Linked DNA regions of Daphnia pulex. The protein of the gene in region 2 purifies or fractionates together with the protein of the main gene of each other region. This does not show direct contact. Links are inferred from orthologs where the notes say so. Each region holds a gene or a part of one and is shown on either strand. Other genes may lie near its edges.

Region 1 (4,035 bases), on a different chromosome or scaffold from region 2:
AAGAAATCGTTCTCATCATAACTCTTACAAGATTCTGGCAGTTTGTGATCTACTTGTCTTAGATCATAACCATATTTATTAATGTAGCAATCTGCTACATTTGGCGATGGAAAGTATGCCATATCCAATTCTTCAGCCAACTCTTTGGCTAGAGCCCTTTTCCCAGCAGCAGGTGGCCCTTCAACAACAATCAACTTTGAATTCTCATCTAATCGGCTGGTGGTGGGATCAAACAAAGCTCGTAAAAAGTTGTATCTCTTTTCCTTGTATGGGAATGGAGCTGGCTTTTTAACAGGGGGCAATCCTTGGCGCATTACTTTTCCAGAGATAGAACGCTGTCCTACTGTAATCACACATTGTTGTTGTTTCCTTGCTATGATGACAACACTTCCGCATAGCTTTGGAGAAGACACTCTGCTGAAGAAGACCATCTTGTATCGTTTTAAAGAAGCAAGTTATTCTTTACCAATCTGGTTAAACCCTGCAAACAATCAAAAACATTTAATATTTAACAAATTGCACTCCACATTTCTACTACAGCACATTAAATACAAACAAATTTAACTCTAATTTAATAATGAGTTGGAAGCAACGAAAACGAAAGTAGGCATGGACAGTTTGAAACTACCTCAAAGTTACGAAAATGCTATTAAATACTCAATTTGTACCGAAACAGTTAGTTTTTAAATTATATTAAGCAACCATAACATAATAATGAAAATAGTGTTTTTCTTTTACCAGACGGCCATGTAAAATTTTCTTTACCTTTCCTTCTGGACCGCCAACGTTGCCTTGCAGAAAGAACAATCTTAACAATGAATAAAAATATAATCAATATTTGTCCGATTGGCTAGAATAAAATTAAAATAAAATAAAGAAATGTGTAAATTTTAAAAATCTAATAATCTATACATTTTTGATTTGCTGTCATAACTTGGCAACTGAGTGAGTTTAGTTTGATATTCCAATATGGCGGCATCCATAACGCAAGTGTTCCGTGTCAACTCTTGTCGGCTATTGTACTGTAATCGTTTTTCCAAGGTCGCTTTCCCAGCATTCTCTACTCAGGCCACAAATCTTAAGGTGAATAATACTGAAGTTTCGCTATCGAATTTTGCATATCAATAACACGTAAATCTTGTACAATCTTAGAAAGGTAAAGGCCTGATTTTGGGAGGCTATTCTTCCAAGAAGACCGAAACCGACGTCGACTCTACAAAAGATTTCATTTGGACTCAGGCGGCTAAAAGTTTCAATGATCAAGTGGCCAATCGCTTAAACGATGCGTTGAACTGGTAAGCCCATCCAATAAGTCTTGATTCAATCAAAATTAGGTTTGATGTCAGACATATGTTGTGCATTCAGCAGCTAATCTGACCTGAAATTCTTTATAATGATAGAAACAAACAGAAAATTCTGACTTGTTTGTGATGTGTTTCAGGTCAGATCATCTGTAAATGTGACATACGAAAATTCAAAGCCTGAAGATGGCAGGCCGTGGGGTTAAGAGGGGTCCCCAGTCTCTTCTGTTTGGGGGTGTAAAGGACACGTATGAAGACAGAGATAGTGATCTTCTCTGCCCGGTCTGCTTGGATATGATGTCGGAACCTTACGTGACTACATGTGGGCACAGCTTTTGCCATGGATGTATTGTCAGAAGTCTGGAGTTAGCGAGCAAATGTCCCAAGTGCAGCGGTCCCCTCGACAGTAGTGGCCGAAACCCATCCGTTTTCCCCAACGTAACCCTCAACGCATTAATAACCAAACAGAAGAAGAAATTAGTCGAGAGTCAAGATGGAAATATTTTGATGAAAGACTTTACTACTCTGTTGGATACTCGGGATTGGCATCCATCAGAATTAGTTCGCATGCAAGAAGTTTTGCTTCGGAAACAATGTGATCTTGATGGAGAACGAAAACTGACCGAAGCCCAGCTACTTAACGAATTCCTCCAACAGCTCAAAACCAAGAAGAACAACGAGTTGAGAAATGTTCAACAAGAACTAGAGGTGCTTGACAAGGATTTAAATATGGCGCAAACCCTAAATCCTGGCATCGATTCTGCTGCAATTAAAGTGGAAAATTGTGAAGTCAACGAGACGGCCTTCAATTCATCCATCGCGTCCACACCGTTAAGCATCAGTCAACGTCGTGTAAGAATGCACCAACATTTCGAAGATTTAGAGGGGAAATACTGGGCACTTCGGAACAATCGTCTCGGTGGTGAGGAAGAAGAAAAGAAAAGTTTACTCGACTTTCAATCTAATTTGAACCAGTTAACGCGATGGAGTAGACTAAGGCCTTTGGCTAATTTGAGCTACGGAAGCGAACTCCTCAACACGGCACACATTGTCAGCTCGATCGAATTCGACCGAGATGCTGATTTTTTCGCCATCGCTGGTGTGACCAAACGCATCAAAGTGTACGACTACGCAGTGGTTGTACGGGATGCGGTTGATCTTCACTATCCTGTTATGGAGATGGTGGCGGGCTCGAAGATATCGTGCATATCTTGGAGTGCCTACCACAAATCGGTTCTGGCAAGCTCCGACTACGAAGGCAGCGTATCCGTTTGGGATGCGTCCGTCGGTACTCGTCTGAGGGTCTTTCAAGAGCACGAGAAACGCTGTTGGAGTGTCGATTTTAATCGCATGGACAGTCACTTGATGGCCAGTGGCAGCGACGATTCCCGAGTCAAAATCTGGAGCTTAAACGCTGAACACTCTGTGGCCACTTTGGAAGCTAAAGCCAATGTCTGTTGCGTCAAATTCAATCCGTACTCGCGTTATTGCTTAGCCTATGGCGCAGCCGATCATTGCGTCCATTACGTCGACCTACGTCAGCCCAAGGAGCCACTACGGGTCTTTAAAGGCCATCGCAAAGCCGTCTCTTACGTCAAGTTTCTTAGTGATCGCGAATTAGTGTCGGCCAGCACGGATAGCCAATTGAAATTGTGGACGGTTGAAGACAACGTTTCATGTCGATCTTTTCGCGGACACACAAACGAGAAGAACTTTGTGGGCCTTTCGACGACGGACGGCAGCCAAGACGATCGACGTGATTTGATTGCTTGCGGTTCGGAAAATAATGCCCTTTACCTCTACTCGAAGGGACTCAGCCAGCCTTTACTTCATTATCGTTTCGACGTTGTTAAAAGCGCTTTGCTATTGGACAAGGAGCGGGCCGAGCAAGAAGAGAGCGCCGAGTTTGTTTCTGCCGTTTGTTGGAAACCCGACTCCAACGTAATCGTCGCTGCCAACAGCCAGGGAACTATAAAAATTCTCGAACTGGTTTAGGGTGGTAATTTTATTGTCAATTCCCATCATCATCCATTTTGCGAATTTTCTATTTGGTTCTGGGTTGTCATTCCCCAATGACTTGAATGCTGTGTTCTGCCAAAACGTGATTCCCCTGTTGTGCCTAATCTTCATTTAAATTTTATCCTGCAAATACAGTTGTGAATTTCCTTTGACTATATTTTTCATTTTTTGTCGTTGTTATCCCCGTGTTTATTTCCCCTATCCCGTGTCCTCTTTCAATTCCAATCCCACAGGAGTGGAGTACCGAAGAAAGGCAAAGCTCGAGTGCTGTACGGACTAGATCGTGAGTTTCCGGCTGTAGCCGTCGTCAATTTGGGCCCAAATCCTTTGGATGATTCCACCATTTTCCAAAAAGAAAATATCTTGGAGGAGAGAGACACAGCCAGGGAGAATCTAAGATGCGGAATTGCAGGCACCTTATACTTGTCTAAAATCTTTTTTTTTTTTTCTTTTCTTAATGAATCGTATCTTGCAGCTGGTGTGAAGGCCTTGCAAGAAGTTGGAATTGAAATTGTTTCAGTCGACCCTTGTTCTGATGCCGAATGCGCTGCTGAAAGTGCCTCCCTGACCCGCTGGCAGTTTCAAGATTTGAAAAATGCCGCCAAACGTAAACCCGAACTCGATTTGGTATTGCACGGAAGCGATGAATATGGGTTAGCGAGAAAGAATTTAACGTAATTTTTCGACTTCGGCCTTAATTTATGTTTTGCTATTA
Region 2 (3,873 bases):
AGTACTTTGACTCTGGAGATTACCAAATGGCAAAACAAAAAGGACCAGCTAAAATACCAACTGCAGCAACAACAGCAGTAATCCCACCTGCCAATCTTGGACACCCAACTGGGGATGCCATTCCAACTCCGGAATCTGTTCCTACCAGGAAAACATCCATCATTCAGAGCAAGTTGGCAAGTCCTGCTATGTAAAAAGAGCAACATCACCTGAAAGTCTTAACCGTTCGCGGGCATGAATTTGGTATCGGGCAGTTTGTATACAATTTGGTGTAATATCTTCATGATCGTGTTACGTTTCGGTGTCTGCATCAGTTTTTTTTTTTTTTTTTCCCTTAAATCTTTTTTAAAACATTTTTTTCTCAATCTTTGGCCGCGCTCTTTACTATTTTACCGCCTCTCTTCATTTTTTTTCCGCTTGAAATGATGAGAAATAACCAGGAGTTCCGTAAATCAGAAGACGCTAGTTAGACTCCTTTCCCCCGTTAAAAAAATGAAATACATACAGTGGCACCACTTCAATACAGCACAAATGATTTGTATTTTTAAATCATGAATTTAAATGTGACGAACGTGAAAATTGACTACATATTCGGAATTGGTTCTCTGAACACTTATGGCAAATGGATCTGTTGGATGAAACGTGAAAGCAACAAGGCGACGGGCAGAAGAAGGCGGAGCTGGCCGGCCAAGAATACCAGCATAAATGCGAAACCGCAGCAGTCCAGATTCACGGACGTAGAAACGAATGGGGTGCTCTCCACTAGTCTTTGGACGCTCCATGAGCGAAACCCATTTATCGTCATAGGAAAACAGCTGCAAATCAAGGTAAGGCGAAGAGGAATAGGATTGTGCTGAAATGGGAAGTTGTGAAAGAAGTCGTTTTGTGGCTTCCGTCTGCCCACCAAAGCGAGCGCTGACAATGGTCTGCTTGAATCGTTGATGAATGACGTTTGCAAATACGTTGCTGGACGGTGATCCTTGTGTTGCGTTGCGTAGTAAATCGCAAAAGTTCTCGAACAAGTTCAGTAGTTCCTGACTTGTGTTTTCATAGACGTTAATAACCTGTAAAACAATAATACGTGGGATTAAGTTTTTTTCTTTTAATTATAATCAAGATACCTGTGCGTTTTCCATATTGTAAACGACAAAGAAGGCCGGTTGCGTATTTGGGTCTGGAGCTCGTAGTGTAACCACATCTTCACTAGCATATTTCAGAAGCAAATGTGACTCATCCAACAACTGCATTTTCCAGATTCGGAGTGCGCGAATGTGATCAAAGTTCTGATAGAACTTTCGTACGTGAAAGAGATTCCCTTCGGCTTCAGCCATGTTGATTGCTCGTCGGTAGAGAAACACTAGTAAACGATGCTTGAGCGCGTTGACAGTTGCCTCTCGAAACGGACGAACCAACTGACCCGAAGGCCAAAGTCCCCGTACTTGATTGATTAACCATTCGTCATCGTCGAAACAAAATCGACCTATAGTTTTTACATCAGCAAAATAGCCATCGTGTGAAATTTTAAAAATGTGTATCGTTTGATGCTGGACAGAGAGAACTGCTAGAGTGTCTTCATACAAGTAAAGTCCTTGGTTGTGTGAGAGAAAGATTTTGTCGGTCTTCATTGTTCTAGTATCACAGAGCCTTCCATTGACGATGTCAACGATGTGAAGTGAGCAATCTTCTAGTGGAGAACGAGGATGAGGAGATACGGATTCATTATTACGGAAAATATCAAAAAAATTTGGCTGGGGCTCTTCGGGAACGTACGAGGCTGAACCGACAATAACAAATCTTCCGTCACCGACAAAGAGACTGCATTCGCGATTTAGTTGTTCACCAACAGGAGTTACAGCAATAGTATGCTTTAACTGGAAGAATTTAGAAAATACTTTACTTCTTAAATTTACAGCTTCATTGGTATCATTTCCAACAAACTCTCTCGTTCCTGGAACATCTGTAAGTAAATCTTCTACTGCACTTGGTCCAAGATATTTGTAAACTTCCACTGAAGTTTGATCTGAAGAGAATGCAATAAAGTACTTGCCGTTGGGTGTAAATTTTCTCAAATAGCATGGTGGCTTTTCTATGTTGACAATTGTAAAATTTGGGACAACACTTTGATAAAATGATCGGCAAATGTGATAGTTTCCGGGTTTGACATGAGTCTCTCGACGAATCAGTCGAATTACAACATTCTGCGAGGGAATTTTTCTAGGAGTCAACTCGAACTCACCATGGTCAGCCTGTCTATATTTGGGGTTCATCATTTTCAGAACCTTTTTTATTACTCGGCATTTTTACTACGTATCTGCAATTCCCATTTTATTCGCCGTGAATTTTAGAAGTTTCAGATTTTTAGTGATAAAGCACATGTGAAATAGAACTGAAGCAGGTTTGAGATGTCAAAATCCGAAACATTTTGTAGAACAGATCGATCTAGCGGTGGTAATAGAAAGATAAACAATAGTTTTTCACGCCACCTGTTGACGAGTGAAATTCCATTTTAAAATAATCGTTCTTGACGGGTGATTAAAAGTTGAAAGAAACTTTGAGTGTATGAATGAAAAATGCACGTGAGTGGAGAAAGAGAACCTAGACTTCAGCGATATGAAAAGATTGAATTTTTGGGAGAAGGACAGGTAAGGTTTTGATTGGCACTGTCTTTTGTGTATGTTCAACTGTTTTATTTTGTAATTTAGTTTGCGACAGTCTACAAGGCGAAAGATACTCTAAACGATAACAAAATAGTTGCCGTTAAAAAGGTTTAAAAAATGTGTTTTCATTTCAGCGTTTCCGGTTCGTTTATAAAATACTAACACTATTTCTGTTCAAGATTAAACTGGGTTCACGAGAAGAGGCTAGAGATGGAATCAATCGAACAGCTTTGAGAGAAATCAAGTTACTCCAAGAACTCAAGCATGACCATATAATTGGTTTACTTGATGTCTTTGGTCACCGTTCTAATGTATCTCTGGTGTTTGACTTTATGGATACTGATTTGGAGCAAATAATCAAGGACACAACCATCATTCTCACTCCAGCACACATTAAAGCTTACATTCTTATGACACTTCAAGGACTTGAATATCTCCATCTTCTATTTATTCTTCACAGAGTAATAATAATAATATATATTTTTCCCCTGTACATTATGACAGAAGTATGCACATTCTTTTTTTTTCAACTACCATTTTAGGATCTGAAACCTAACAATCTTCTTGTTGATCGTCAAGGAATACTGAAACTTGGTGATTTTGGTTTGGCAAAATCGTTTGCATCACCCACTCGTATCTACACTCACCAGGTTGTGACGAGGTGGTATAGGTAATTTGAAGAAATGCAACATAAATATTCAGCTGAAATTAAAATTGATCACACCTGAAACTAGGTGTCCAGAACTGTTGTTTGGTGCTCGAATGTACGGTACCGGTGTTGATGTATGGGCAGTAGGTTGCATAATGGCTGAACTTTTGCTTCGACTCCCCTTTTTACCTGGAGAATCTGACTTAGATCAACTTACACGTATTTTTACAACTTTGGGCACTCCAAACGAAGAGAATTGGCCAGTAAGTACATAAAACAATTTTGAACTCAACCGTCTCCCACCTTTAAACTCTAGTCATATTTCCTTGATTAGGGACTGCTTTCGCTACCAGATTTTGTTCAGTTTAAGGCTTTCCCCGTGATTCCAATGCGGCATATTTTCACCGCCGCCGGAGATGATTTGCTGCAGCTTTTGAGTCGTTTTTTGGCATTGCATCCTTTAGACAGGTGTACTTGTAGCGAAGCTTTGCAAATGCCGTATTTCAGGTATGTATTTTGATTAATTTTTAGATATAAAATTCTAAGTTTCTTCCTTAACAGCAATAA

Evidence for each region.
Region 1: the proteins of DET1 homolog (region 2) and E3 ubiquitin-protein ligase COP1-like purify together in Homo sapiens (affinity purification with western blotting; 11 studies listed by BioGRID and IntAct, counting the BioPlex papers as one, with this or other methods). This does not show direct contact. The link is inferred for Daphnia pulex from reciprocal best matches to the Homo sapiens genes DET1 and COP1.

The regions. Positions count from the first base shown.
Region 1 is NC_060028.1:8,377,483-8,381,517, forward strand, and holds E3 ubiquitin-protein ligase COP1-like, read left to right. Parts: upstream 1-1,295; intron 1,296-1,441; 5' UTR 1,442-1,487; coding exon 1,488-3,296; 3' UTR 3,297-3,472; downstream 3,473-4,035. Other genes in the region: NADH dehydrogenase [ubiquinone] 1 alpha subcomplex subunit 10, mitochondrial-like, read right to left, coding at 1-431. UniProt on the Homo sapiens protein: E3 ubiquitin-protein ligase that mediates ubiquitination and subsequent proteasomal degradation of target proteins.
Region 2 is NC_060020.1:945,332-949,204, forward strand, and holds DET1 homolog, read right to left. Parts: upstream 2,437-3,873; 5' UTR 2,271-2,436; coding exon 1,122-2,270; intron 1,065-1,121; coding exon 558-1,064; 3' UTR 522-557; downstream 1-521. Other genes in the region: cAMP-regulated phosphoprotein 19-A-like, read left to right, coding at 1-194; cyclin-dependent kinase 7-like, read left to right, coding at 2,571-2,642, 2,703-2,765, 2,837-3,118, 3,200-3,327, 3,392-3,569, 3,641-3,813, 3,868-3,873. UniProt on the Homo sapiens protein: Component of the E3 ubiquitin ligase DCX DET1-COP1 complex, which is required for ubiquitination and subsequent degradation of target proteins. The complex is involved in JUN ubiquitination and degradation.